2 linked regions of the Oreochromis niloticus genome follow. Each later gene encodes a partner of the first gene's protein in a complex. Links are inferred from orthologs where the notes say so. Each region holds a gene or a part of one and is shown on either strand. Other genes may lie near its edges.

Region 1 (15,830 bases):
AGCTGTTTGTTCTTGCTGATTCAGCATCGGGTTACACTTGGAACTTTTTTGTGTACACAGGGAAGAGTGAAAGCAGCATAAGCCATGGTCTGAGCTACTCAGCCGTTTTAGATCTTCTGCCATTTCCTTTGCTTGGTCAGGGCTACACTTTATATTTGGATAATTTTTATACCAGCTCTGCACTCCTCCAACATCTGCATAAGACTCGCTTTGGCTGCTGTGGAACCATTAAAAAAACCCAGAGTGATTTTCCCTGCACAGAAAAAAATGACTTCCCTAAAAGAGCTGAGAGGGGAGATATGCGCTGGATTAGAAAAGATGAAGTGCTCTTTGTCAAGTGGATTAACGCTCGGGAGATAACGATGTGCTCCACAGTGCACAGGGCCTTCAGTGGAAAGACTGTGCAGCGTAGAGTGAAGGAGGCTGGGGTGTGGTCGGCAAAGCAAATACCTGTTCCTGATGCAGTGCTGGATTATAATAAGAACATGCGTGGTGTTGATTTATCTGATGTTCTCATTCGTTATTACAGTGTTCAACAAAAAACAAAGAAGTGGTATAAGACTTTTTTTTATCACTTCGTGGACATTGCCATTGTGAACAGTTTTATTTTGCACAAGGAGATATGCAGGAGCCAGGGTCGGGAGCCAGTAACTCAGAAACAGTTCTGGGAGCACCTTGCTGCGGAAATGCTGTCTTTTGCTGTAGGCTCAGCACCAGCAGCACCATCGCCCACACTCACATGCATGCCATGTTATTACAGCAGCGATGCTACACAATCCAGGAGGTACTGCAGGAGGTGCCTGGATGCTGGCATCCCAAGGGTGAAAACACCTATTTATTGTAGGGCTTGCAATGTCCCCCTGTGCCTCACGTCCAAAAAAAACTGTTTTGAGCGCTGGCATAAACTGCAGGAATATTTATCAAGTGTAAATGTGCACTGATGGCTTGCTTCCCCTCTTGTAATGAAACCTGGAATTTCAAGAAATACTAAATCATTTTGGGGATGTTATTATTATTATTTTTATCAAGAACCTCCCCTAATGTCAACTTTTGCCCATGTATTAAAGAACAATATGAGCAGAGAAAAATCCCTGTAACGGGCACCATATGCACCTGAAACAGATCAGATTTACTGAATGCATCTGATTTGGAGTTCTACACAAAGTGTTTTGCCATTTCTAGTAGCCCGAGTATAGTTTTAGACCCACTGCAACATTCATAACATTCAAGTTCAGGCTTCAGAGTTCAACGCTGGTGATGAAATCTTTTCCTGGAGGATGCCTATGTCCATGTACTCAGTGTAATGCAGTGCAGATTTGTTTGACAATGGAAGTTCTGTGGGTGGCCCAAGTTAAAATGTTCTTTTGTCATCCAGCACTATAAATCTTTCATGAATAAAACCATTGAACAGAGTTGCAAAGAATTGTATTCAATTGAATAAATAAACAGATCATTTCTACTAAAGCACACAGTTTATTTTGTATCAATATGTCATCGATACACTTTTTAAAATTTCTTTTAGCCTGAGATGAAAATGCTCAACTGGGGATAGGAAGTGCCCATAACAGGTCTTCATTCCTAGTGTGAAGTTTGAGTCTTGGATTTCCCCAGGAAATCTCTAAACGCCTAATAAATCAGAATAAAGGTTTGGTCTGTCTAATAATTGCTCCTCTTTGGGTCATGGGCCTTATAGGCCAGTAACTAGTGAACTTAAATACAACACCCAGAATCGGATCACAAAGAATAAAGTCTTTATTATACACTTAGGAGAATCAGTCCAGAATTGCATAGAGCTGTGGAAAAGTATACCTCAAGACGGTCAATCCAGCACTCTCACAGGAGTTTTAATATTTTATGTTTTTATACACTGTCAACCTACAGTGCTGGGCTGTGGGCTGAAGTCAGATTCGTATTTAACTTGATTAGGATATGTATTAAATTTATACCCTTAATATATATCCTGAAAAGCCTATAAATGGATGTCCTTATACTGGCATTACAAGGCTCCTTCTTGTTACAGGCCTCAATCATTGCATTCTTTTATTTTTAATTGAGTAGCAAAATCTGGCATTCTCCCTGGCATCCCTCATCCTCCACAGCTAACCAGGCTGTCAGTAGTGGCTCTTATACAAGATACCTACATTAGCTGATCTGTGCCATGCCTGAGCAGAGCAGTTTTCACTAAAAAAAGTTCATTTTTTCTGTTCTTGCTGTATACTGTACTATATTCAGCTACAGTAGAAGTGATTCAGATGAACTCAGTCATGGTATGCACCTGATGTAACGACGCACGTTGAGTAGGTGAAAGGATGGTTCCACAGTGTGCGGCATCAACTGTCAAACATGGAGGAGGAAGCGTGATGGTCTGGGGATGTTTTGCTTGGATCCAGGGTCGGTGACTTGTACAGAGGGAGAGACACCCTACTACACCATTCTGCAGCGCTATGCAATACCCTCTGAGTTGCGCTTAGTTGGTCAGGGGTTCATTCTGCTGCAAGATAACGACCAAAAACATAAGTCCAAGCTATGTCGGAACTACCTCAGAAAAAAAGAACAAGATAGTAAGCTTGAAAACATGGAGTGGCCAGCGCAGTCTCCAGACTTAAATCCCATTGAGCTGGTTTGGGATGAAATGGACAGAAGAGTGAAAAACTCGCTGGGCTTTCCCAGTGGCCAATCACTTGGAAGTGAAAGAGCACATCGCACAAACCAAATGGGTGCGAAAAGCCCAGATCTATTGTCATGAAGTTTTACCCCTTAGGCTTATGAAAACACGCTAGTTAAGGGTGTGATTGGTAAATTTTACAAGGAAGCCTCACTCTATGCAGTATGTTAAACAAAGATGGGAAAAGGAAGGAAACATTTCAATATGAAATTGAATATGAAACTTCAGTATTTTTTTCTGCTACTAAAAAAATGCTATATTTAACATTGTGTTTTCTTTGGACCAAAATCTTCTTGTTTGTAAAATGACAATTTGTCTGATGGTCTCAGTAAAGGTTTTTTCATGGATGAAAGAAAATCTGCTGGACTGTAATCCCCTACTTTACCTCTAGGAGGCAGCAAAACTATTAAAATTAGTTTCTGCTGCTGTTATTCTAGCAAGTCTTATGATTTACTTATTTAACTGGTTCCTTCTGAATTTTTCTTATACAGCATGATGTTCACTTGATTTCTGCTTCAGTATAATGAAGAACAATCACAAGGACTTCATGAGAATAAAGAATTTAACTGGGAAAGAAATCAAATGTATGCAGTCAGTATGTAGTGATGATTCTTCTTCATAGCTTCTTCTTCATAAAACCCTCTACAGCTCTCTGGTGGTCATCCATTCTTGCCTTATCAGTGCTCCAAGCCGATCACAGGCTGTTCACTTGCTTCTTAAGGACTGACTGACTAGATTAAGATTTGGGGAGTTTCCTGGCTGTAGAATGTTAATTTGATGACCACCAAATCACTTAGTTATAACTTCTGTCTTGTGACATGTTGCTCCATCATACTGGAAAATAGACAGATTGCCACTAAATTCCTTCTGGATCATTGAAAGACCTTTTGCACCATTCTTTGTTTATGACAGTGTTTGGGGGCAGAATTGTGAATGTGCACAATCCCATGGATGAGAAGAAACCACATAGATAACCTCAGGATGCTTCACCATTGGCACAACTCATGGTAGCATTTACCTTTCCTCTTTCGGACTATCAATTTTTTAGAAGTCCCTAACAGTCAGAAAGGGGCATCATCAGAGAAAATAACCTTTGACCAATCTTCTACTGTCCAGTCCTTGTAGTTTATGCAGAATTTCAGTCTTTCCTTGATGTTTTTCTTGGAGAGAAGTGGCTTCAAGCACCTTCTATTTTATAGAGAAGTCTGTGCTCTCAACTGATTGATGCGTGACATCAGTTGACTCACACTTTCTCTTGTGCTATGAGAGGATACGTTGAAACGATGATACTCATTGTTTAATGTTAGGACCAAATTGTCATTGGATTTTTCAGATGAAGTTTACTTTTACAGCAATGGAGCTGTTTACAGTTCATGAATATACTTTTTGATCACCCTGCATTAACCTTTGGCAACAAGTATAAGATGTAATTGTTATGAGATGCACCACACATACTATATGCAATATGACTATAAAACACACACAAAAAAAAGTTTCTTTTCCATGTGACATGTGACATGGAAAATAAACATCAATACAAATGTCTTTATACACAATGAAATTACACAAATTTTTATAGAAATTTGCTGTAATTGCTACTTTGTCCTGTATAAAAATCTTGAGGCACATTATATTTTGCTAGGAAAATGAGAAATTGGTAAATTGATTTGAAACATATATGGACTCCATAGTATATAAGGTGTTTGTGCAGTTCTAACAACATTTACTTTTATTCTTCAGTCCTTGAACTTAGGCAAGCTTTCTTGCCATTTCTTTAAGCAGTCTTCAGGAATAGTTCTTAAATCTCTTCTGTGGATGCTGACTGTCTTATTCCATCAATCCTGTCAATACGATCCCACACTGCTTTATTAATGTGGAGGCTAGGTGTTACATTGTGTGTTTTTCACTTTTCTGTGTCAACTTTTCTTGTTGGATGAAACACACTATGTTGTCTCTATTCCTGAAGACTACTACTTACAAGAAGGCTTGCCCAGTCTTTCCAGTATACTGCATGTAGATTTACGAGTTATCTTTTGCTCACAGTGTTCTAAGACAGTCTCTATAAGTGTTCTGGGCTTGTAGTCTATCTAGTTAAAAAAAATCCCTTGTCTTTAAGTTTGTTAGGTGGAGACAAACACCAAAAGTCGTCATTTTCCTCTGTAAGTGCTAGATGTTTTAACTGTATAAGTATCACTGACTTAAAAGGGGGTGTTATACTAGTGTGCTAATTTTCATCTGTCGCCACCAACTCTTTTAGGCCTAATCATAATATCAACAAGTTTAACCTCAAACCATAAAAAAGCAAGACCGAATCATCAGATAGCTTTTAAGGAGTCAGACACAGTCCTCACTCCTCCCTCTACTACTTTAATTGGCCCTCATAAAGACAGAGATTCAAGAGGATACTTGGATTTAAACATTAAAACCAGGCTAATGTGCATCTGTGCTCTACATGGTACGTAATCTGCATAGTTAAGCCTTACACAACGTCCATTACAACATCTCTCTCAATTTCACAAGTATATTCTCTCTCTCTCTCTCTCTCTCTCTCTCTCTCTCTCTCTCTCTCTCTCTGCCTGTCTGTCTCTCCTGCTCACTCTGATTTCACTCCTTTACATTCATACAAATGTAACCATGGCACCAAAACCAGGCTTAAGTGTTTATCTTGATGCCTTATGCCATCAACATATGATTCATGCTATGTATTACACCGACGCTGTTTCCCTTCCAAACACAAACATATAACCTCCCCCTTCCTGTGAATCTCAAGGGAGTCCTGCCACACATTCTTGAGTGTACACTTCATTGGAGCAATGATTCAGAGCAGCTCATAGCCAAATAAGACGAAAACGCCTCAGCTTGCCTACTTTGTCCGCATATGAGCTGCTGCTGTAGCTACATGGACTTGGCCACTTGTGCATTCATACACAATGACAAAAAAACTTTGGGCTGCAACTCTGTTAGAGCTGAATGCTATTTGTAATCAGTGAGTTGAAGAAATGAACTCTGTAAAATCGCCACTAAAATTAGATTTTTAAACCACTATTATGTGTACAGCAAAAATGAGAAAAAAAGGAAAAAAGGGGTGGGGGGTGTTAGCATAGAACAAGTGCAGAGTTGCCCTGGACTGGTCTGTTTAGACTTGACAGATCTGTTTTGACTTGAGCTGTGCCATTTGGCCTTCAAAGATTCCAGACATGTGCCAAACTGCAATGAACTTTGACTCCGATGTCTTGATTTTTTTAGGCTTCCCTGTTCTAAACTGGCCTGTATTGCTGTATGTTATTATCCTGAAAAGTCCCAAACTGAGAAAGCAGGAGACTGGAACTCGGCTCTTTTGATTACATGTTGGGCTCAGGACTGGATTTTTAAAAACTTTTTGTTATCAGACTTAGTTCTTGCTTTTTCTTCATTCTTTTACCTCGTTGCCTTTTCTAGAGCTAAATATACAAAAGTTGTAACGTGACTTTCAAGAACAGAAAAGAACAAAAGTGGTACCTGCCTATCCCTGAAAAGGGGCTCACTAATGACTAGTAAACAATAATGTTGTCCCCTTCTCAGAGAAACTTTGATTGTAGCCATTTTTAAAGCAGGCAGATGGATACTTCCTTTTGCAAATATGTTACAAATGTGTATAAAATGTGTAATGTTGTTAAAGACTTACAAAAGTCACCTATTACTGTGTTGGTTTCTTTGGGGCTATTATGTGTGGACAGGCATGCTCTCATTGTGCTTGCATGGGTTTTCACCTCCTCTTGGATAATTCTTAATCAACCTTAGATGGGAGGCAAATTACATAACACACTTGAGGGCATAAAGTGCATAAAATGAGGTGTTAGATAAATAAAAAAGAGGAATAAAACTTGTAGTGTAAAGTGCATTAAGTTGGTGAAAAGAGTTGAAATCTAAGTCTGTTCTGTTCCATTATTATCCATTATATTTGAGAGTTTTATATTCGAAACTTTAATCATTTGGATCTGGTTTGAGGGGTGTCTCTGCAATGGATTGTAAGATTTTACTATAAGAGTCAAATCATGAATCTGTCATATAATAGTGAGGGCCCAACAATAAAACTAGCTTTGCTTGCTGTAATCATTGTTCTTTTCCAGTTTGTCCCAGAGAAGTCTGTTCCCGAACCACTTTTACTGCAGAGGGACAAAATCCACAGTCCTTACTCTGTAAATTTACATGGTAAAGTTGATCTGAAGCATATATGATGCTTGAGCAGTTTAGCTTTGTCCAATCAAGACGATGTTTCCCTAAATTAAAATCACCTCTTTTATCACTATCACTGCACCACAGCTCATTAAGAAAAGGGGGGAAATTTGCCAATTCTTTAGTTACTTCAAATGTAATTCATCAAGAAATTGCTTTCTTTGGTCTGTTTAAGGAGCAAAACCATTTTCAGCGTCCACTTCAAACTGCCTAAACATAAGAGGTTGAACAAATGAATTAATTCTGTCGTTTAAAGTTTCCATTATCTAGTAACAACGTTTCAGCTAACGAGACAAACCAATCCTTCATATTATCTGCTGACAGTGGCAACGTTTTTTAGAGGTGTAAAATGTGTAATGTTCTCACAATAGGAAGGGCCTTTTAAATTTTATTTATAAAAGTAAACTATTGACTATTACACTTCAGCGATCTTTTACACATGACTGATGATAATAAGTTGATGATGACCCAGAATGAAGCAAAACAGAACAGAAAACAGCTACATGACAGTCAAAATCCCTCCTTATAGGCTACGCCTGCCTGTCTTGGAAAAGTGTGTGTGTGTGTGTGTGTGTGTGTGTGTGTGCGAGTGTGTGTGTGTTCACGCTGTCTGATGCAGGGGAATGGACTTCCTGTTCAGAATGTGTTGTCATGTTGACTAACCAAGGACACCAAGAAAGGGAAACGACCTGGCCTTCAGAATAAAAGCTTGGTATGTGCAGTCTAGTTAACATGATTAAAGGCATTTTAACAATCCCAAAGCTATGGAGGCTAAATAATTTGCTAATAGTCTATAAATAGAGCATTATATTAATAATGTGTTATATAAGGTCACAAACAAACATACAAACAAACATTGGTTTAATACATATACATAGATTAGTGTGTAATAATGATTTCCAAAACAAATGAATATGTTCTCATAAACTTGCCTGAATTAATCCATTAAAATATATAGGACTTGGGCCAGTTTGTGGAAGTCACAGTGTTGCCTCTCCAACTTGAATACAGTGTCCGAGATAGTGAGAGGGACATCCCTTTCCTGCCTAACTGTGTCTTATGTATGTGATTAGAGATTGGCCAAATACATAGTACGCCCAAGGTGGAGGACAAGAGAATTCATGAGCGTTTGTGTGTTGTGGAGGCAAATTTTAATTTGTGTCTGCACCTTCAGATTCAAAATGGGAAGGTGTTTTATCGTCTGATAACAGGTCTCTTTCACCAAAGAACCAAAATGTGAAGAAAAGTGACAGCACGACTGGATTCTGGATAAAATGCTTTCCTTTTCCTCCTCAATTCACCGCTCATCTCCTTCATATCAATGTGCATATCAATTTTTTCAGATTTTGTTGCAGTTACTTATTGCCAGCATGCGACCCTGTGATTAGCTGACAACCAGCTGTACAACAAGAACTGGTTAAAAGTTAGTTTAGGATTGAGTGTCTTAAAAATCTCTCTTTCTGTCTGATGTAAAGATTCTCATATGACTGAGTGAGAGTTTATTTTGTAAGTGTTTGAGTAAAACAGGGTTATATTAACTTCAAGGAAACTTTCACTAGCACAGGCAAACAGAGGCTAACAGTGGCAAACAAGTGTTATTGGCAGAAAACCTTAGGATGTTTGCAACAACTCGCCTCAATATAGGGCTGGTTAATCTGGGATACCAGGCATTTTCCTGGTGGGCCGATAGGCCCAAAAAGTGACTCAAGGGTAAAAACATAAAATACAGCAAAATATTTGACACATAACCTTTTTTTTATTTATTTATTTTTAACTCTTACATCTATTGTTAAGTATATGTATTCCTCAAATATATTAAAATATAATTTTTTATATACAAACAGTAACAGAAAAAAAGTTGGTTATGTGGTACAGTCTAAATTTAATGTTTTGATCTCTTTTGGCTGACTACAACATGTTTGTCCTATAGCAGCCACCAAAGCACTGAGAGGAGTTGACTGCAATTATGCAATCTGCTGCCATCTAGTGGTGAGATTTTACACACTGTAACTCAAAAAAAAAAAAGAAAAGCAAAATATGCTAAACATTTTAATAAAAATTCCTAAGAAAACAGTACTTGATGGACTTTCACTGCTTTTTCAGCAGAGCATCATATATAGTGTTTCTCACAACTGTAATGAATTGTAGTGGCACAAACATTTCTATGACTTTTTTTGTGTGTGTCTCCTGATGGGCTGGATCCAGTTTATTTCTCTTTTATTTATTTGTTCTCTATTAATGGGAGTTTTTATTTGGAAACAGCAGTGCTTAGTGGCCAGCTTATTTTGGGCAGGAAGAGAACCTGAATGTTTATGGACTTGATAGAACGTCTGAGCATTTATGAAGTATCGTCACAACAACAATAACTACCAATGATGCCATTGCGCACTGTGTGTGTAATTTAGCTGAGCAATAGTTGAAAATAATTTAAACTATTTAATATTTATCTATATATCTAGCTAGCTTGAAAGAAACTCAACTGTTCTGAATCCCTTCCTACATTTGAAATTGTAAATTTGATTTAAATTTCCAACTCCCAGCACAGCCGAAAATCATGCTTTTGTTTTGAAGGGTATCAGACGGAAGTTGTTTGCTATGTTTGGACATATAACTTGACTTTAGCTAGTTGGAGCGAGCCTATCCTTGACACACTTACCCACACCATACAACATACACACACACACAGTGTCGCGGCCTCTCCCCGAGCTTGTTCCGAGATTACGCCGCTTTCATCGCTTAGACAAACTAACGAATCGCCGGTGAAAGACTGACTCTGCCCCCGCCCTGCGCTGTGTGTAACGCTGGTTAGCTCCGGTACAAGCTGGGAATGTGTTTTATTTAACAATTACATGACGACTTGTTCTCTGTACGGTTGCGGGGGGGACGCTTGTTAGCAGGGCTGAGATTTTAGGCATTTTAAAGTTACACCGTGGGTGCATACAGGCCACAACACCTCTAAGCTAACTGATTAACTTGATAAGGGACAGACAACATCTTCGGCGTCTGTGTTTGTGTCGGTGAAGCCGCGGAGATCTCCAGCAGCAGCCATGGCAGGGACACGGACAGCTGCTGTGCTGGTCCTGGTGTGTTTACACTTCCATCGCTCCGGCTCTTTCAACCTGGATGTGAATAATTCCATCGTATACTCCGGACCTGAGGGGAGCTACTTCGGCTTTTCGGTGGACTTCTTTAAGGCTTTAAACAACCTAAAGTAAGATTTGTAGCAGAGTAGATGGTTATGGTGATGATGGTGATGGAGAAGCGCCTGTTCAATGTAACCTTTGGTTTACCTTACTTTACATTATATATGCTTCTGTTGAAGTACTTTACTTAAGTTTTACACTTTGGCCATTTTGTTATTTAGTGACAAGTTCTCAGCTAGTGATATGTTTTTAAGATTTAACATGACAGTCCATTAACAGCAGTCCATTAACTTTTAACTTTTACTTCAGTACTTTATTAACCAAATTGTAAGGGCTGAATTTTACAGGCAATTTGAATTTATTGCCCATTATTATAACCATATATTTTAAGAAAAATCCATAAGTCAGAGATTCTCCCTTCAAAGCTGCACCAGCTGTGACTTTATTTAAAATGAACACAGACAAACAGGAACAGTGCCCAGAGGCCATGTAGGCTTGGTGCTGTCTAAACTCTCGTCCATGGATATCCATGATTATCCAGTTTTACTGAAGTGAAAGTAGTTCTCTCAAAAGAACACTACTGATCTAGTTGTTTTCAGACTGCATTTGTTTTGTTAATTTACATCATTAACAGACCAAATGCAGTCCCAAAACAGTGCCAACGCCCTCGGTCATAGAGGAGGTTTAACCTGAGGTGCTTTTAAATTGTGTTTCCCATATTGTCAAGTGTCATAAAGGTTCCTGAAAAACGTTTTTAAAAAATATTCCCTGGAGTGTGTGAGACATCCTAATAACAGTCTTATCATCGCCTTTATGCTTCCTGGTCTTGTTTCTTGCTGTATTTTTAGAGTGTCTGCATGAAAAGATAGCAAAAAGCTGCCTGTCATCCTCTCTCCCTGCACAGAGTTTCTGCAGCAGTTTTGTAGATGCACATTAACAAACTTGCACCGTGCTACTTTTTATGTATAATAAGAAAACAGGTGGTTTTTTCCCAGACCTCTTTAAAGCATCATCCCATAACGCATAGCCCAGTTGTTCATTTTTTGTGTTAAATAAATTCTTGTGGATTTCATCCCTTGTTCAACTAAACATCAGTAGGTACCCAGGAAAATGTCAGTTTATTGCAGATGACTCCCTCAGTGCAGCAGAGCCCTGTTGACCTTGGTAAGGGAACATATTCAGTAACTTTGTGTTGTAACATCTAAAACCTCTATGCTGTGCAGATAAATATCGATTGCCTGCCATTTCTCCATATTTCAAGGTTCAAGGTTCTTTATTTGAGAAAATATCAGAGAAATGTTGCAGTCTCATGTGACAATAGACTGACAGAGCGGACAGAAAGTTAGAGACTTTCATCTGCAGTAGCCTGAAAAACATTGAATCCTTTTAGTAACACTAATTAGATCAGCACTGAAATTCACTGCCCATGTTACAGTTATTGCCATGGTCAGAGTGGATTTGTATAATATGATATCAGGACCGAAGTTGGCTGAACATGGCTTAATAATGTAAATATGTCCTCATACAGAACACGGTCGCTGTGGAGACTCGTTTGGTTCTAGTTATTAAAAAAGAACTATAGATTTTCCTCACAGGGCCTAATGCATGTCAAGCATAAGCTGTATAAAGCATGGTCGTAGCTACTGTGACGCCACCCATCACCCATTAGTGTTTGACTGCTGCCATTTTGGTTTGCTGAACCCAGAAGTGACTGTGGTTAGATGAGAGGGTGGAATGATACGTTGTCGCTAGGAAACATCATCTATAAACCATATGGGTTGAATGCACAGTTACAGATGCCTACTAAATAGTGCTAAATAACAGACAGACACTACAATTTCACTCACCAAAACTGAATCACAAACTTCTTAGATGCTCCGCACCACACCCATGTCAGTTGTTTAAACATGGTGACTCCAGTTAGTGAAGCTGAAACCCAGCGGGTACCAATCAGCTACAGCTAAACATGTTGTCAGCATCTAGATGGATGAGTTATAAAAATAAATACAAATCCCCTCATACTAGAGTTGTTATGAAGCTGGAAACTCTCCACGGAGGCCAAAAACAGTTTTTACACCAGGCTGTAAACAGGCCTTTTAATGCATCTATGGGCACTGCCTCACTATGTTTTTCTGATGCCAAGCTCAGAGCCACTAGAAGAACCGTTCATTTGTGGTACTTTGTGTTGGCTTCATTTAGAGCTATGTATTCTGTTAAATAAAAAAGGTCAAAAGTTTTGATTCATTTTATAAATCTCACAAAGCTATATCAGCCAAATGTTACTAACAATAAGCTACGCTAAGTTCAGCCTGTCCTTCGGTTTTTATTAGCTAGTTTGAGGCAGCAGTAGTGGCTGGAAGCTAAAAACCCCCCAGTGTAACAATGTGTGGCCTGCAGTAATTACACGTATTGAGAGATCACTTGATTTGTAGCTGTTTTCCTGTTGTTGTTTTAATTTTATTCTACTGAGTGTGGTTCCTGTCAGCTTTTAAAACAACCACATCAATCATTACAACCACCTCGGTCTCACTGAACCAGCAGCCTTTTAGCACAGCAGTGTTTAACGGATGAAAAGTTTTCATTCGTTTTATAAGTGGTCAGTACCTTAGGTAGTGAAAACAGTTGCAGTTGCAAAGGAAAAAAAATGTCCACTGAATGGCTCTTTATAAACAAATCCTGTTTTGCACTGCAGCAAAACCTAAATGCTTTGAACAAAGACCTACTGTTCACCTGAAAACTGTTGGCTGTCTCTTGCAGCATCGCTACAAGCAGCCAAATCATGTTTTATATCGCTGAGGAAATTTGTCATGTTACCGCAGCATCTACAGACGGGAGATGATCTGTGTTTCGTATGTTTATTAGATTAAGAACTAGTCACATACTAGTTATGGGATGTTCCAGGCAATGATACTTTTGGACAAACACTCACTGTTGCAGCGCTGTGGCTCTGTAGACCTCTTTAAACTACACATGAAGGTCATTGTACCAGTCTCGGTCAGTAGTACTGATAATGTCATCTTCTGGTGCTCTGGATGTTTCTCCTGTAGATCTGTAGTCCTGTGTGATGTATGCAGAGTGGGGACATCAACACTGGAAGAAATGAGCAGGTTGAAGATAAAAGCAGCATCCAGTGTTTTCTTTCTTTTCTTTTTAAATTTAGTTTGAACCATATTAGAGACTAAAGTTCTGCTTTCACCACAGACTTCCTGGAGAGTATGAGTCTTTTAAAGAACTCTTCTACTTAACATTTAACTGGATGAACCAGAGTTTAAAGTTCTGTGAGATGGTTAAATCCCCAGAAAGTCCCTGCTTTGGTGCTAGATAAATTTAGTTCACTGTGCTTCAGTAAATTGAGCACACGGCTGAACTCTGGGCCTTTTTATGCATTATTGCATTGCCTCATCCTAACAATATCAATCTCTGTGCTAAATATAAAAGCCTGCCTGAAATGTGGTTTAAAAAAAATGCTGTTATTGGTATTACTGGTATTACTATTATTATTGGTATTTGTTATTGGTATTGGTATTATTAGAAGGTGGGAAAATACCACCACAACTAATCACTGCACCTCAGAACCTGAGCTATAATGAAGCTTAATAACCACCCAAGACTGTCATTGAACTCTATAGCAGGAATAAAAAAATCCAAAAACAGTGCAGATATATGGCGATGCTGATGTTCGTTTTACTTGTACAGCAATGATTTAAAAATCTGATTTATTTATTACTATTTTCTTTCAGATGCAAGAAACCTAAAAAGATTACGTGAACATTTGTTATGAGCAGTTAAATATGACACTGCAGTTATAATAATACTGTTTTATTGTCACAACAAGTGGTGGACTGCTTGTTTACACTCTTCCTGTCTCGGATTAGCTTGTTGTCATGTTTGTGGCATTTGTGTGGCAGAGTGCACTCTGGATAAACTAAGCAACATCAGCACTTGTTTGAAGGGTATTTCTCCAAGCACTTCTTTTTAAAAAAACCTTTATTTATTGGCTGTTTTAAATGTCATGGTGGATATATCAGCAAATAGCCAGAATTAACCAATATATTAACCCTGTCTATTTATCTATCAAGAAATATGCATATTAGTATAGCTAATATGCACATTGCATATCCATATGCAAGTATTTGATGAGTTCTTACTCACAGACTTTCCTCATATCTTGTAGGCCGAGTTCATTCACAGAAATTACTATGATAGTAAAGCTGCCATATTTTGAAACACCAGCTGAGTCGTGTATGCACAGGTTTTTAGACTGAGGTGGTAACAGATGACTGAAAGATTAAGCTTTGTTTCCTAAGCTGAATCAGACACAGTTTAGCCTCTCTTGGTCAGCTTAATTACTGCATGACAGCATTTGTGGCTTTTTCTGTATGAGTTGGTGTCTGTTTGTGTTACGGAATAACGTCCTCTCCTCTCCTCAGGTCAGACGTTCTGATTGGAGCTCCTCGAGCTAACATGTCTTCGGACAGCATTGTGGAGAGAGGAGTAGTGTACAGCTGCCCCTGGAGCGGTTCCAGCGCCTGTCAGCAGCTGCTGTTTGACAACAAAGGTACCAGAAGACCCTTTAGTTTGGTTAAAAACTCTTCCCCATCACCTTAGGGTGGCTTTAACCTTCAATATCTCTCCCTCCTTTAATGAAAACCACTTAGAATTTACATTTTAATTCCAGACCATGATAGATAACGTGGACAGTTTTCAGTAAGCGTATTACTGATTGGATACTGAGGGTTCAGCTCAGCCTGTTTCTGTTGTTTTCATGCTAAGACACATTCAGGAATGTGCATTGAAGCAGAATGTGTGTGGACTCGTCCGTGTACTGTGAGTGACAGAAAAACTGCTGCCTCCTTCTGTTTATCCATTTTGCAATCATCTGTCTCCAGCATTGATCATAATTTAGTAATTTACTGGTTCTCTTTGATTGTGAAAGGCCAGATGAGCAGAGCACTGTCTTCACTGTAAATATTTACACAGTGATAAACAGTTATAATTTGGCAATGTTCTGTGATGTGGGTATTAATCCCTTTATTGTCTTCGTAGAATTTCAGTCATTTTTCTGTGAGGCAGCAGCACCCACACGTTCCAGGAATCCTGGAAGCTTCACACAATAAAATGTCCTTTTCTTAGGTGCAAATGGTGATTATTTCCTTTATATGTGAATGAACTGATTATGAAGAACAGCAGAAGTTGTCAAGGAAATGTTTTTGGTCATATCTGTTGTTTTTACCAGGGGAAGCCAAACTTTCGGAGAATATGTGGCATTTTGGATCTATAAATGAGTAAATCTGTGTTTCACACACTTTTCTGACTACACCACATGTGATCCAGAGCTTTAAATGTTCTCGAGTACTAATTAATCTATATTTGTGGCTAAAAACTGCTGTACACTGATATCAAAAATAGCAGATAAACTGAAACTGAGACTACCTGGTGAACCATTGACCCACTCAAGAACCATAATTTCTCTCAGGAGCTCAAAGAGAGTTAGGATTTTACCTGATTATATACTTTGTCATATTCTTTAGTTCCTAAGCTGATAACAAAGCAAATGTAGGGCCCTCCCACTTTCTGTTCAGCACACTGATAGTCTTATTGTCAATGAATAGAAGTTAATGAGGCTAAAAGGCTAAAATAATGAATTCTACCTATTTCTATAGAAAATGTTTTGAAAATGCAGAACTGATAATATGTTTGCATTGAAATGAAACGATGCTTATGTGGTGTTTGCTTAAAGGAGGCTTTTCTTCCACATGAAATGCTACCATTCTGCATGGTGATTGGTCAGTTAGAGGTTTATGACA
Region 2 (16,374 bases), on another chromosome or scaffold:
GTAAACTATGGATAAGAAGTTCTATTGTATTATGACAAATTCATGAATCACGCTTTGGGAGGAGGAGGGACATGGGACACTGGCCATGCTTGGAGAAATAATTAACCGACGAAACACACACACACACACCCACACAGTTGTAGAGGTGATGTAATAGCTTCCTGGAGTTACTGGCGAAAAACCTCTTCAGGCCTCAGCCAGCTGTAGGACAGTACTTACAATGGATGCATTAAAAAGACTTCCAGTATGCTCCAAGCACTCTGGGTTATCGGATTCACCTTCCTAACCTGCATGTCTGTGTTATGTCACGCTTAAACAAAAACAACAATGCAAAAGCTTTGCCTCTGTCTAGAAATCTCTGCTGCGAGTTGTTTTCCACAACCCTGACATAAAAAGGCTCCTTTCTTTCTCTTTACTCGTTCGGTTTTGTTTGTACCAGAACAGAAGCAGCGTGTTTCTGAGATCTCCTGCACCGCAGCCTTCTGTTGAATTAGAAAAAAAAAAAACCTTAAAGCTACGCAGAAGTTTTCAGCAGATCTTGAAGATTTTGTTTGAGCACATTTCCCCCTTAGAATTAGTGGAATAGTTTACTCATGTTCTAAATATAGGCTCTGTAGTCATTGTAAGAACTGCAGTGATGTAATTGATTATTCATGTTTAACATGACTGAGCCATTAACCACAATAAAACAGTCTCAGGGTGGCGTGGTTGGCATGGTGGCACGGTGGTTAGGGCTGTTGCCTTGCAAGAAGGTCCAGGGTTTGAATCCCCCATCTGGCTGAGGCCTTTCTGTGTGGTGCTTGCATATTCTCCTCATGTACTCCAGCCTCCTCCCACAGTCCAAAGACATGCGGTTAGGCTAACTAATGGATTTTCCATTCCTAAATAACTAAACGATAACAATGACATTCAGTTTTAATAAATTATCATTGAATTATTTTTCTTTTCCGTGCAGTTTGAGGATAAAAAGAGCCTGCCGTCTCTTTTTGGCATTCCTGCTCTATGAGCCACACTCTGACCTGACATTTACTGTAATCAGTTATTTAACAAATGTGTTTGATCTTACTATCTGTTTCATTCTGGAACATCCTGGCAATGGATTCATGAGTTCTTTGCTAAAGATGTGAGACTGTGTGAAGCTGCTTATCTTTCTCTACTTATTGTTTACAGTACTGGCTGTCCTTGGTATCAGCTAGCTACAATGTGACTTAGCTGTTATGACTTACTTGGAAAGGAGGAAAAATACTGGGAGGTGAAGCAGAAAACTGACATGCTTCATGTGATTTGGTGGATTTTACCAGAACTATCCCTGGTGGTGACACTGTCTTAAGCGTCTCTCTGTGGGTGATGAAAACAAACGATGCTTTTGTGTCGGCTTGTTTGAGCTTTTCTGCCTCATCTTTGAGCATCACTGCCCATCCAACTTTCTCCTCTCCTTTAGCTCAGTCTGCTGCTGGTACAAAGTAGATTTCCTTTCTACACTTGACTTCTCAGTCAAAAAGTGAAAAGTGATTCCTCATTTCCTCTGACCTTGTAGTAACATTAATAAGCAGAACACACAGATCAAAAGCTTTAAAAAAAAAAAAGGCTTTTTTTTGTCTCTTTCACTAGTTTTCACTCATTTTGCCACCTAATTTTGCAGATCTGATCTGTGTTTGTGCTGCCCTTGAATCACCGGACATTTACCTGGGAAACGGATCTGATTCCCACATGACTCCTGGGTGACTTCACATTACACAGCAGTGCAGTTGTGTCAGGGAAATACAACCTGGGTGGTGATTTAGAGGAACCGGCGGTGAGTGTGGATGTGTATGCGTAAACCACAGAGTGGAATATCACCATTACGCCTCCATGTTGCAGCCCCGCAGGCCAGAATGTGTTATTCCCCTGAATATAACTGAAAGTCCTTCAGAGCGGTGACCTCGCTCCTTCCCTCCCTCCTCGCTCTCCCTGACGCTCCCTTTCTTTCTCATGGTGAAGCTGGCGCTGAGCCAGAGAGCTCCTGCTGGCCTTCATAGAAATACAGTAACAAAGTGCAGAGCGCAGCTGGTACCCATGATGTGTGTGTGAAAATTTAGGGGCATTCCAGCTCCTTGTTAAGTGGAAGTGGGCACAATGAGGAGCATAGATAACCAAGCTCTCCCTATTATTGGGTTTCACTTTCACATTCAGGGGACAGTGAGTGTGCATCTCTGACAGGTGCCCTGAGCACCTGATACTATTATTTCAGCAAAGAAATTACAAGGATGGATGTGGGCATTTACCAGACAGGAGACCTGGGAGAGGACAAACTGAGTTAGATTACAGGTCATCTTTATTGCAGACTCAAGAGCCTGTAATAAAGAGAGTGTTTACGTGCTTGACCCAGTCATGGGAAATTCAGGATGTCTGTCTCAGCTATGCAGATTTTGTCCTTAATTATACAGAAAAACAACTTTAAATAGCGAGACTGAAATAAAATCTTTTGGCCGAGCTGTTGATTGTATCTCACAGTCTTCATAGCTTTGCTCCCTCTGCCAGTGTAGGTAGGGTTTGTGTGCATGTCCTCCTGTCTGTAAAGTTTTCATCGAAAAGATTTTAATGTGTGATGATAAAACTTTGTAGGAATGTAGAGTGAGGCCATCCCTTAAAATTAGGCTCACATCCATCAAGGTCTTCAAGGTCAGCTTGATGATTTATTGGATGAGAGATGACAAAAAGGCTTGTAACTTAAGAAACTATGAGTCTTTCACTAGCTGGGCCCACGTCCTCATTTATGTTTGACAGCGTTTTAGTAGGTAAAGGTTGGCTTGGACATGAATTGAGCTGCGGTTTGGGGAAGGCCTCGAAGGGGACTGTCAGCGGCTCCCGGGCCTGGCAGATCCCAGGTACGTAAATGAGAATGAACAGCTTGTAGGACTGGGGGTACCTATATAGATGAGAACAGGAAGGAGCGTGTTTGGAGGCGTGGTCCTGCTCCTGAAATTCCGATACTTAATCTCCAACAAGTGTGGTGATGATTTTTAAGCACCATATAAAGGTTTAAAATATACTAACACATTTGACCTCTAACCTTTCTTTTGCTAATTAGACTGATCTGAAGGTTAAAATAATTATAATGGTACTGTATAAAGACCAATTTAAAATGGTGTTTCCTATAATGCCATTAGTTGTATGACACCATATAAGGAATAATATATGGGAAATCTAAATATCTTCATGGTTTGGACCTCTGACCTCATCTTTAATGTCAAATAAAGTCAAACTCTTTTAAAACGCCTTTTATTGTCTTTTATCTTTAAAACTTTAAAACTATGCTTAAAATTCTACTGCCTGTGTTTGTATAGGCGACATTTATTTTATTATTATGATTAATATTATTGAATTTAATGCTTTTAAAAAAAAATAAACATGTGTTCAAAACTGTTTTTCACTTCCTATTTCTTGCTAATCATTCATCCATCCATTCTCTTCCATTTATCCTTATCAGGGTGGCGGGAGCACTGGAGCCTATTCCAGCTACCATAGGGCGAGAGGTACACCGTGAACCAGTCTGTCGCAGGACTAACACACAGAGACAAACAACTGTGCTACACACTTACTGAAGTGAATTTAAAAAGAACAAAAAAGGAATATATAGAAAATAAAACACTATTCCCTTAAAAGTAAATACTGCCCAGAGAATGAGCTGTCTTGGCGGATGTTTGTGCACTCTGACTGCTTCTCATTTCGTGTGTCGTTTGAGGACTGCTTAGTCATCTGACCTATTCCTTGTCTACTCTACAACCACTAAACATTTGGTTACAGGATCCTTGCTGATTACAGGTCTTTCGCTCTAGTCTTGCCTACAAGTAGTTTGCCAAAAGCAGCTGCCTCCGTTCGATTTGATTGCTCTAGTTGGATAATCTAAAACCCCACGAATGCAAAAGTAGAGTTTTAGGCCACCCAAGTAAACTCTCCATCTGACCTTAGAAACTGAATCTATGAAATGCCGCTAAGATACACAGATTAAATGTTCACACTGCTGTTTTAAAGATTGGCAAGCACTGCCAGTTCTGATCCCAGATCATGATATTGTAGCCCCAGTGAGTCATTTGGGATAATTTCTTTTGTAATCGTTTACTGAAACCACAGTTTCTTTGAAAAAAACAGTGACAAAAAACATGGGTTGCTGTGTTAGTTCTTGTATGTGCTGACAGTCATGCTCGTGGTTGAGTGAAGTGGAGGTGTATGCATGTTTCTGTACTATTGTCTGCGTCTGCATTCAGCCACAAGGCCACTGATAGTCACCATAAATATCAGCTGTGACATCGCAGTGACCACGGAGTTTCCTTGGGTATGTCCAGTGGAGAGTAAACGGATGTTTTCTGAAATCTTAGCACATGCCATCATTCCAACCATGAAACCTCACAGGAATTCAGACTCAATTCGAAGAAATACATGCAAAAATGTCTTGGTGTCATTGTATGCAAACGCTAAATCTGTTGCTTCAAAGGAGGAAATTCAATGCTAACAGCGAAGTACTTCCGTTGAAATTCCCATGTAGAGCATCAGGCTTGAAGTCTTCATGAAAGTGAAAGATCGAGGAGGAACTTTGTCTGGTAGCTGCATCGTTTTTGAAACAGCTGCGATGGGGTTTATGGGTACTGTGGTTTTAATATGGAAAAACTCTCACGCGAACTATACCACAGGTTAAAGATGTTTCATGTTGCTTCTATTTTCACCTTTATAAACATAATTCAGAGTTTAAATTCAGTTAAACGTACACACGGTGCAGTTGGATCCCATTTGCTTTCAGAACTGCTTTAATTTATCATGGCACAGATTCAACAAGGTCCTGGAAACATTCGTCAGAGATTTTGGTCCATATTGGTGCAATAGCATAACACAGCTGCTGCAGATTGGTCAGCTATACATGCATGACGTGACTGTTGTTTTCTACCCAAACAGTTGAGATCTCTGGAGGCCATCAGAGTACAGTGAACTCATTGTCGTGTTCAAGAAACCAGTTTGAGGTGATCTTTGTGACATGGGAAGTTTTCCTGTTAGAAGCAGCGATCAGTAGATGGGTACACAAGGTTCAGCATATTTTACTTTCAGAGATGCTTTTCTTCATACCTCAGAGGTAATGACTGGCTGTTTGAGTTACTGTCGCCTTCCCATCTGCTCCAAGCCGTCTGGCTATGCCTCTGACCTCTGGCATCAACAAGACATTTTCACTCAGAGAACTGTCCCTCACTGGACATTTTTTCTTTTTTGCAACATTTTCTGTAAACTCTGGAGATGATTGTGTGGGAAAAACCCAACAGATCAGCAGTTTCTGAAGTATTCAGACCAGCCCATCTGGCACCAGCATCCCTGCTACATTTAAGGTCACTTCATAATCTGATGCTCAGTTTGAAAATCAGCACGTCACCTTGAACACATCTACGTGCCTAAATGCATCCAGTTGCTACCATGTGATTTTTTTTGATTAGATATTGAGATATTGAGGGTATTATTGTCACACTAGCTAACGAACCAGAAGACTGCATCACAGGAGAATATGACATGATTATTACTGCGTAGCAGAGACATCTTAATCTGAATAAAAACATTTGCATAATTACTCTGTGTTTTACATATTTAAATTGTGCTGAATGCTTTTACTGTTTATGTAACAAATTCTGCCTAGTTTCTTGAGGATGTCTTAGTTAAAGCAGCATCTTGCTTTATTTTGAATGTTTGTTCTCATTTATGTTTCCTGAAGACTCATCATGTCCTCAACACGTAAACCACATGATGTGTTTTGGGGTTTTTTGTTTGTTTTTTTCAAAGACAGATTTCTTTTTATATTGAAGAGCAACTTTGATATCAGTGTTGCTGTCTCCACCACGTAAGCATAAAACTCACAGCCGGATGTAAGCGGTAGAATGGTTAGTGAGTTTGAGGAAAGAGGAAACAAAAATTAAAGGCCAAAATCAACAATGAACTGAGCACAGATTTTATCTTGCTAGCAGCCTAATAAGCAATAGCTCTTTCCTTGGAATCATAACAGTCAGGAACAAAACCAGCTCCTTAATGCAGTGTAGATTTCCCTTGTGCCACTAAAATAATTCTGAGTGGAAATCTGGGAGTCCAGCAAATCCTTTGGGGATTTGAAGTTGAAACCTGGGGGTCATTTGGGCTCGTGGACTCTTCTTGGTCCTGATGGAAAGAGGCAAGATTGTGGCGAGGGGTGAATGAATCAAAGTAACATTGTAACAACAAGGTCGGTGTTACTCACGTTGCCAGTCAGTGCTGTATGACAGTGTTTCACTTCTGCGCAACAACAACTCAAACTTATAAAGTCACACTGTTGCACTGAAACTGACACATTTCATAGTTATTTTTATTGTTATGCCACTCAGCACTACATCCACTCACTGAGCGCCAGCTATTCAGGTGAACATGCCAAATATGTCTGCTATTTATTTACTATCATTTATTTACTATAAGAGTACTATTTCCTAAAAGCCCAGCATTTCATATGAAAATCTATTCTTATAATCGATTTAGAAAAAATGATTTTACAGCTAAATTTATTGTATTCATGGCGGTGCTGTTTTTTTCCCCCATGTTGACATTTCCCTGAGTCAGAATGACTTTTCCGATGTTAGTGTTAAAGATATTAAAATACTCAGAACTTTACATCACCTGAACCTTACGCAAAAGAAAATTAGATCACCTGATCACTGCTGTCTCACAGTGACCAAATATGGATCAGTTCACATAGCAGCTTCCTGTTCATATTAAAAATAATGTAGTGGTTACCCACAACAAAAGACTAGATCAGACTGTGCCAGTGAAATAAAAACACAGTTTTTTTATGACTTCAAAAAATTTCAGTTCTTTGTCAAATTTCCTGATTCAGTCAAAACAGGAACAGAAGTAGGTCTTCCTATTTTTACCCCTCCGTAAGCTGAAACGTGGCTGCTGTCAGCGTGTGAATAATAGCAGTAGAAACATTTGATTCTGCTTTACATAATACCTTATTTAGACTGACATTTTGATAGAAGTGGAAATTTGAGATTCAACTCCCCCTCCACCTCTCCTAATATAAAATTGAACAAAACAAAAAACAGTTCAGCATCAGAAGAAAAAAAAATGAGTAGGAAGGCGATGATAGGTGATTCTGATTTTTGAGGGGGAATTCATTTCACCAAAGGCCAAATGCTGACATATAAATGTGAGAGGGGATTTCAGATTAGACTGTCGAGTGTTAAATCATGATGAAATGCAAATTTGTTATGACTGTGTGGCTGTTCGGTTCCACTTGATAACAAAAGGCCCAAAAATGCTGACATTTAGAAACACAAAGAAAAATTTGTGCCAAATCTCCCCAAACGTCAGTCACTCTGTGCACTTGTGGTGGCTGGCTTGGATCCATGCATGAGAATCCCCATTCTGCTCCCCTCTCACATTTGACCCCTTACTTTGTTCTCGCATCAGCTTATCCAAAGAATGGGAGGCTGAATGGAGAGTGAGGGCGAGGCTTCAGAGAGAAAATCACTGAGAACTCTCTGAATGACCACTTAGTAAGAAAGAAAGAAAGAAAGAAAGAACGAACGAAAGAAAGAAAGAATAAAGTTGGGCAGGTGCTTCAAAATAGAGTATGGTATGTATGTGTTTGTCCACACGTGCATGTGTGTGTGTGTGTGTGTGTTTGGAGAACGATGAGGCCAGACCAGCGTGATGGAAAGCCCAGCCGACTGCTAACACAAACATAGCAGGGGGAGAAGAAAGAGAAGAGAAGGGGGAGGAGGTGTGGAGGTGGGAAAGGTGGGGGAGGAATGACTCGGAGGAAGAGTGGCTTGTGTCGGGTTAACAACAATGACAGCTGTCATTAAGATAGTGATGTAGGCCAGTGTTGATGACCAGGGCAGAGGACCTGTTTACACTGGAGTCCATTATCAAGTTTGCTCAGCAGTGAATACCTCTATTTTTTATGCCCTCTGGTCACCACGAAACCCTTGCTGCCACCTTCAGCCTGCAGAGAGGAGAGACTTGAGCCTGGGCAGAGAGAGAGAGAGAGAGAAAGAGACTGCATGGAAGCTGCTTTTCAGGGATGTTTCACACACTTAGAAAACAGTGGGGTGTGTGTTTGCATCATTATCATAATTGAGGGTGACTGCTTGGAGTGTGGATGGGGAGGTGTCAGCACTCCAAAATTTCCCATTGGACAAATTATGTGAATGAATGGATGAATGAATGAGAGGAGAGGCCGGCTGGGTCTGCTCCAGGCTCCTGAGCAACAGATGGAGGCCAAAGAAGAGCAGATAAACGCGATCTTATTGCTGCGCGTTGGCGCATTCACCGTCGCCGTTGAGGCCTGGAGCCAAGACAAACATCTCTCTTCTTTCTTTCTTTCTTTTTTACCTTAAGGACCTCTACCAGATACGAGCAGGCCAAAGATGGTCTGGGCTGCTACGCGTTTTCTTGCTTCGTGGCTGTTTTCCTCGTGGATAAAACGTTCAGTTATTTACTAAGTATTTTTGGCTCTCCTCAGCGGAGCAGCCGGCGAGGAGGTTACTCTATGTCACTGGAATCTGCGCACAATGGAGTCAGACCCCCACCCCGTCACCTCCCCCTGTCCGCTGTAGCACCAGCCTGTGAACCCCTCTGCGAGAGCTCTGGTTTTTACTGACCACCCCCCCAACTACCCCACACCATCATCCATCCACGCAGGTCCTCGCGCACAGCGCCCCCCTTACGGCTCCCTTAAGAAACAACATAAACACCAGCGCTACACTCGGAATCCACCGCACCGCAACTCCTCCTTGTTCACCTCTCTTCCTCCTCTCCTTATTTGTCAGCCACCCCCCGCGCACACACACACACGCCCCTCCCCTTCTGAGCTCTCTCTCTCTCGTACGTACAGCGGCGTGGTTACCATGGCAGTGGTTAAAACACGGTTATTCTCCTGCTCTCGGCGTATGATGTTCACTCAGCATGTCGGTTGCGCGCCGGCTGAGCGCTGATTGGCTCTCCCGTGTGTAACTTCGGCTTGTGCTCTGTCCCGGGATGAGACTTTTACCATCAGCTGTGAGGCGAAGCTGTGAGAAGCTCTCGGGGACGCGTCGCACACCTGCGGCTGGGTGGAAATAGATGGAGGTGACTCGCACTCCGCCGATTGCTTCACCTCCTCTCGTGGCCCACGGGGGAGCGCGCTTGTAAGCTGATTTGACCGGTCGAGGTGAATGCCTCTCCGGGATTAGAGGGCTATTTGGGTGAACCACGATGTCCCGCGGCTCGGGCCAGCACTCGCGGTTATTGTTCATGCGCCGGCGAACGCACGGTGTCCGGTCTCCCCCGGTTCATCTCCAGTAGCCGTACAGCTCCGCTTCCCGTGTCTCCTCGCTGCTTGGCTCCGGTCTCCTACCCGGTGTGGACAGGATAATATGACTTCCTGGCTACGCACATACGACAGCGCCTGTCTGTGCCTCCTGCTCTGCTGTTTGGTGGCCACTTTCAGCGGAGAATCCTTCAGTGCCGGTGAGTGGATGCTCATTGGGGGCTAATTACATCCCATCTCAGCAATTAGCCTGCATCTTGTAGCTATCACTGTCAAGCGATCATTAGCTTCCCCTCCATCCCCTCTGTAGTCTCTGCAGGAGGTAACGTAAAAGACTCGTAATGGGCATTTGGCTCATGTGGAGGAGTTACAAACTAGTTATTGATGAGAGGTAATGACAGCCTCACTACAGTAGCAGATACCACTCCAGCCCTCTGTGTTGAGCACATTACCGAACATTTAAAATTAGAAGTTAAATGATTAACCTTCACAGTCTTTTTTGCCAGAGGCCAAGAGTTTTAATTGGGTGAGAGTGCGCTGTTAGTGATGCTCAGACCTGCAGCTTTTCTCCTTTTGTCCTACATTACAACCTCACTGAAGCTCCCTGGAATAACTCTGGAAAATTAGATTCCAGCAGATAAATCACTACACTACAACATTAATTCCACTACAAAAAGCCATACTTTGTCACTCAGTAAAGTCTGCATCCTTACTGTATTTTTTTCTGCAAACCTTGCATAGACATATCCTGTTTGAGTGCCTAGTTATGGACTACATATGCACATTCTCACTAAATGATTGACTCATGATTAGATGTCGTATGGATGTGTGTATTGGTGTTGGGCGGGGGGTTACCACTCCAGCAAATCCAGTACCTGCTTCCAGATGGTGGCTGATTTGTGCTGAACAGCCTCTTATGAGATGCTAAGTGGTGCTCCTATCATCAGAAGTGTCTAATGTCCACAGGGGTTCAGCTGCATGGCTAATAAGTGTTGACACACACATTCTTTCATATGCTAATCTCAGATTCTTCCCTCCTCCTCTTGCCTATCTTTTTTCTTCTTCCCTGCAATCATTTTTCTCTCGCTGCCTCCTCCACCTTTCCTCCTCCCTTCCTTGAGCAGGTGACAGCGTGTGTCGGTCTCCTGGCGTCACCTCTTGTAAAGACTGCCTCAGCCGTGGCCCACAGTGCGCCTGGTGTTTCAAAGAGGTAGGAATGCGTATGAACGTGTGTTTGTGTGTGTCAGACACAAACGTGGAAGGCATTGGACAGCATTCCTCAGATGACACGAACCAAAGCTTTGATCCAGTCCACAAATGTGAATATAATATGCACCTTAGAGCTCGGCGGCCTGCGTTATGACTCGTGTGAGTTGCGCCGGCTGCCCGTGTGAATGTTTCCATGCACGTTTTCTCAGGCAGAAGGCAGAGACAGAGCCACTTTTCCATCCATGTGTTTAGTCTCCACACACTTACACGTATTGCTGCTTCCGCCCATGCCTCTATCTCTGTCTGTGTGTCGGTCTGTCTCGTAAAGAGCCCACCCCGAAACAGACTTGAGGAGCTGTAAAGCTTCCTGGTGCCACACCAGTCACAACACACAGATAGAAAATACCAGACCAGACTGTCAGCATGTGTGCATTTACAGACTTCAGGTGCTTTCCCACCCTCTAAGTCCTACACTTCTTGACATCATCAAGCGGGGCTGGGTTCACTGGTGTGTGTGTGTGTGAGCCCTCAAACGTTACCTCCTACACACACAGAGACACACACACACATACAAGGTCATGTAAACTCACAGAGCCATGCTTGGATAAGTATTAAACAGTGCCGGTACAGTTTTTGTTAATATGCATGTTCACATTTGGCTGTTAATATCAGAGTCCAGTGAAGAGACAGACTGTGTAAGGAAAGTCCCGGGAAGTCTGTCTGAAACTTTTTAGTATTCAGAGTTGTTACAGGGCAAATTATAGCCACAGGGAACACCATAAATACACAGAATCCAGTCCAGGTTTCAGGTTCAGGTCCTGGTCAGATAGTTTGCTACAGTTTCAGGTCCTATTGTAGACCACGGCTTTCCTTGGCTGTGTGGATTTTTTTTTTTTAATTTTCACTCTTTCATCCCTTATCTGTTTCCCCCTCATGCTTTTTAAAAAATGACTGAACTCAGTCTGGCCCATGACAGATTAATTACAGTGTAAATACACATATTTAGGGGTGTAGTTTTACAGGGTTTTTTGTGCCACTTCCTTGTATTTGTGAGAGTTTTTGTTACAGACTTAAGTACCAAAGGTCACTAAGCCTCTCCAAAGCTATAAGGCATGACACTGTTACACTCTGCTGTTGTGGCAGCTGACTGTTAGCAGAACTTAATCAAGAATCTGAAGACAATAAGGGCGTCTAATCACATTTTGAACTGTCCAAACTAACACTGAGCAAATTTCCATCGCTCAGTGTTGGAATACACGGAGAATAAATCTGGACACGAGTAAATCCAAACAGGCACTTCCCCCTGGTACTTGAAACTGATGAGTAATTTCAAGGGTCCAATAGCAAAAACAGTCATGGCTCTCATGTCGGGGTAACTCCATCAAAAATCAATGCAAACACACTGAAAGCAATAAGAATGAAAAATGAAACCACTGATTAATTGTGAAACTGGTTTCAGTATTGCATGTTTCCCTGAGTGGAATAAACGAGGGGAGGCTTTGCACGTCTGTGACATCAGGCAGGTGCGCAGGAGAAAGAGAAACGGATCAAAAGTTGCCCAAGGGCTCCAGAAGCGTCGCAAGTAAATCCTTTTTTTTGAATGTTTGTCAGTGTGCAGGAGTCTGCAGCATGTGTGAAGCGAACCACACAGTCTTTCACTACATACTTCACAGTGAGCAAAGGTTAAAAAATCAACTAATGGGTTAAACATTAACTAGATTACAGCCTTTAAACGCCGAGTGTTAGGCATACATTTTTGAATTGATGTAGCGGGAGACGTCGGCACAAGTGTAGAGAAAATCTATAATTTTTCTTCTGACCTTGAAATTGTTTACTCTCGTTCTTGCTCCAGACTGGCTGAAGGAGATGTGCTCATCATACAGATGAGATTACAGCGAAAACATGGCTTTCTTGTATGCTCTGTTTATAGAATTTAAAATTGCAAGTGAGCTATACCCTACAGACTTTCTCCTATATTAAAATTTATAATGTTAAATAAAATTGATGAATTTCAAACATGTTGTTTTTTGAAACATACACTTCATTTGAACTTGTAACCAGCAAGATATATTTTTTTTATTTAGAGGGTGATAAAATGTGTTTTAAAAGGCAACTAACTGGGGAACATATATATAACGCCATTATTACCTATTATTATTTGCAGTATATAAAATAATGTAGAATCCAGAGAAATCTGTGAAAACAAAGGTGAAAGAAAGGCTGAAATCCAACATTGAATGGCCTTGATTTGTTGCCCTCAGGCAGCACTCAATTACACAGTGGAAATCACTTAATGGCTTTCAGAGCACTTTTAAAACCAACGTCAGCCAACTCACAGATCGTCGTTGTATGCACACTTATCCCCACAATGAAGAGGAGGAAAAAGGATATACACAAGATGCAGAAATACAGTTGCAATGGGTGGGCCCAAGCTCATTTAGGAGGGTGCAAAATTGACCAAACAAAAGTCCTTTTGGAAATCAAATACGCCGCCTCCCGTGGGCTGAAGAAGAGAGAGACCATCTCAACATCCGCCATCTGTTATTTGTATTCATTAGTGCACATGGCGTGAGTAACTTACATGTGCAAAGGCACCGTTAATATTCAATATTGGAGGCTTTGAAGTCACATATGCTCCCATTGTTGTTTTATAAAAGAAGGCTTTGCTTAATTCATCAAGATAATGCAAAAAGATTACTCTGTCACCTTTTGGAGACATTTTTACCTACAGTGTTGTTAGCGTTTTGTTGGAAGTGAATTTGCTTTTTGGAAAAAAACAATGACATTTCAGGTTTTATTATCTTTTTGCTATTTTCAAGGACGCGTTTAAATTATTTGCTCATCCATCCATTCCCACATCATCTGTGACAAAGCTTTTGCAGATGAATTTACAGTGACGGTGAAGACTGAGACAAAGTATGGTTTATTTGCCCACATGTATCTAACACCATGATAGTTAATGGTAGATCAAGCTTTCCAACAGCAACAACAATCTCTTGTCTAATGACAAATGGCAGCCTTAAATACTCTCAGCTGTTTAGGACTAAACCATTATTTACTCTCAGGTGAGTTTACCAAATTCTACCATTCCACCATCTATATACAATACACAATTTGAGTTAATAAATAAATACATTTTCACCATTCTCTGATAATTAAATATGTTATATTTTAACCTTATACCTTAACTCTATTAAAAAAACACCAAAAACCCATGTATAGAGATTTCTCACACTCCCTTAACCCATGGCCTCTCCTGGAACCTTTAAATGGTGTCGGGACCACTGGGGAAATATTTGCCCAAACACCCTGGAGAGGACACGGAAAAGATCTTTGCACCAACACTTTTACCTGTAGACTTTAAACACACACATTTGCCTAAGTTTTACTTGGCAGTAGACCTTATTTGCTCCCAGTAACAACCTTTCCTCACAGACAAACACCACACTTCTCAGTGAGGAGCAGCTGTGCAGGACCTGAAACAAAAGGCCACCTGCTAATTATTAAATAACTCAATAAATATTCAATAAATAATTAAACCTCTTGCGTGCAAATGGTTATTGATGTGCAAGTCTATTCTTAAAGTGCAGTGCTCAATAAAGTGCTTTTAATAAAGTGCAAAGGTGCTCCTAAAGTGCTGTGCAAGTTACCACAATACAAATTATACTAGTAAGGAAGCTGTCTTCCTTACATCATCCTAACTTGTTTTAGAAACAGGGTTGGATTTTAAAACCAGCATATTTTGAATGAAGGGCAAACTGACCATTTTGAACTTTATGTTTTCACCTGTAGGACTTTCTAGATGGGGCGGGGCTAAGTCAGCGCTGTGACTTGCCAGTTAACCTGCTCAAGAGGGACTGTGCACTGGAGTTCATGGAGCAGTCAGAGGTTAAGGTGGAGGTCAACGCCACCATCAGCAGCACACAAGTTTCCCCAAGAGACATCAGCATCACCCTCAGACCAGGTAGATGACGTGATAACTTGGGTTGGGCGTAAAAACGATCAGACTCTCTTAAAAATGTATTCAGTATGCAGACAACACACCATTGCGGCGATAGTGTAAATGACCAGCGCTTGTGGTTTTTGATTATTTTGTGTGCCCAGCAGGGCACTTTGTGAATGTGCTGAACACCAGTGCAATATCAGAAAATAAGAACATTCTTGCGGGAAAGAAAAGGAACAAAAAAATGGGAAAAATCTCACCTTCTTTAAGGATCAGGCCATAAGACCTCATCCACATCACATGCGGTGCTGTATTTAGTAGCTCGGCAGCACAGCGAGTACTGCCTGCAGCGCCGTACGGGAGCATACAGCACCAAGCGGTGGGTGTTCAAAATTCCACTGGCTAAAAGTGTTAACAGTTTCCGAGATGGGTGCTTCAAGAATCACTGTTAGTGTTTAAGCCTTCAGGAAAAAACTATAATAAAGACATTATTGTGGAGAAATGGTGCCCTAAGCACTAAATGAAGTCACAGTCCAAGTGTGAGTGTGTGTGTGTTGTAATCTGAGCTTTTGGTAGCTGGTTCGGCTGCTGTGAATAGCAGTGCAGTTAGTCCCCTTCCATTGAAATCGCTGTCCTTCCTGGTAACTACATATATATATAGATGAGCAGCAAAGTGAGAGTAAAGGGAAGATGCCTTGCAGTCCGGACAGTTCAGCCAACCTCTACCTAACAAATGTTTCACTGCATCTCTGCTTCACAGAGATGCTGGTGCTGCAGTGCACCATGCAGTGTTTTTGAATTTTTGCTCATTGCAGTTTATGTTGTGCGTGTGTTTTTTGTTTCTAGGTTCAGCGGCCAGTTTCATAGTGTCGGTGAAGCAGCTGGAGCGTTATCCCGTGGACCTGTACTACCTGGTGGATGTATCGGCTTCTATGCAGGAAAACCTTGATCAAGTAGGTGTGAAAATGCTCGTCTGTCACTTTGCTGCTCAGTGAGTCAGTGAGGATTTGTTCCACGCCTTCTTCTCGAAGGTTCTATATATAAATATAGCTGCAAGGACTATTTGCTGTGTAGAAACATAATTAAGTCAAGGCTTGCATAAATGAGAAGTCTCACCAGGATCTATAAACAGTAATAAGTGGGCCCAGTGAGATGGACACTGACTTTATAACTACTACAGATTAAACTTTTTTTTTTAAATGAAGCAGAGGAAATGGGAGGTAAATAAGCTTCTTTTTTGTCTAATGTGCCTGATTTATTCTGGATCATCTTCCAAATCTTCTTATTTTATATCCTCTTGCACGCCTTCTTTCTCGCCTGCCGCTCTTTACCTGTCCTTGTTCTACCTCTCCAACCTGCTTTCTGCGTGCGGCACAGCTGAAGACGGTGGGTGTAGCTCTGTCCCTTCGTATGACGGAGCACTCCTCAGACCTTTGGCTGGGTTTTGGCTCATTTGTGGACAAGCCCGTTTCTCCTTACATCAACGTTCATCCTTCGAAGATCAACAATCCCTGCAGGTAAGATCATTCGTTAGCTAGAGTTTGCAGATAAAATGATACACTAGAAGAGTGATGTCATCATTTCAGTGATCATGTAAAAATATATACAAAGATATTTAGCTTTTTAGTTGCTTGGGGCAACATTGTCATCAGGATAAGCTGAGCATATAACAAATAGCTCTGCAGTTCCAAATCTTGCAAACAGGACCTCGTTTTTAATGTATTATTTTTTTTGTCTCTCACAAGCGATTTTGAAATACGCTGTCGACCAGCCCACGGCTTCCACCATGTCCTTAGCATGACGAGCAATATGAGCGAGTTTACGCGGGTGATCAAGCGCCAGCGCATCTCTGGTAACATGGACACACCTGAAGGAGGACTAGATGCCATGCTGCAAGCTGCGGTCTGCCAGGTGGGCATTTGTTCATATG

What was found.
Region 2: the proteins of itgav (region 1) and itgb8 are in contact, whole or in part, in a cryo-EM structure (PDB 8TCF), measured with the Homo sapiens proteins. The link is inferred for Oreochromis niloticus from reciprocal best matches to the Homo sapiens genes ITGAV and ITGB8. Residues at the interface, in NP_002201.2 of Homo sapiens: Tyr48, Phe51, Trp123, Leu141, His143, Gln150, Glu151, Arg152, Pro154, Phe184, Gln186, Phe189, Pro204, Trp209, Asp249, Tyr251, Tyr254, Arg275, Arg278, Thr279, Gln301, Met302, Ala303, Tyr305, Phe308, Pro328, Leu329, Met331, Ser335, Asp336; in NP_002205.1 of Homo sapiens: Ser197, Pro198, Ile202, His203, Pro204, Arg206, Ile250, Asp251, Thr252, Pro253, Thr287, Ser288, His289, Leu290, Ala291, Leu292, Asp293, Lys295, Leu296, Gly298, Val300, Pro302, Glu321, Ser324, Leu325, Gly326, Gln327, Glu330, His349, Trp350.

Annotation. Positions count from the first base shown.
Region 1 is NC_031987.2:29,165,556-29,181,385, reverse strand, and holds the start of itgav (integrin alpha-V), read left to right. Parts: upstream 1-9,506; 5' UTR 9,507-9,927; coding exon 9,928-10,091; intron 10,092-14,453; coding exon 14,454-14,581; intron 14,582-15,830. Other genes in the region: piggyBac transposable element-derived protein 4, read left to right, coding at 1-941.
Region 2 is NC_031985.2:23,808,681-23,825,054, reverse strand, and holds the start of itgb8 (integrin beta-8), read left to right. Parts: upstream 1-8,681; 5' UTR 8,682-9,398; coding exon 9,399-9,492; intron 9,493-10,416; coding exon 10,417-10,502; intron 10,503-14,293; coding exon 14,294-14,465; intron 14,466-15,290; coding exon 15,291-15,397; intron 15,398-15,821; coding exon 15,822-15,961; intron 15,962-16,189; coding exon 16,190-16,355; intron 16,356-16,374. UniProt on the Homo sapiens protein: Integrin alpha-V:beta-8 (ITGAV:ITGB8) is a receptor for fibronectin. It recognizes the sequence R-G-D in its ligands.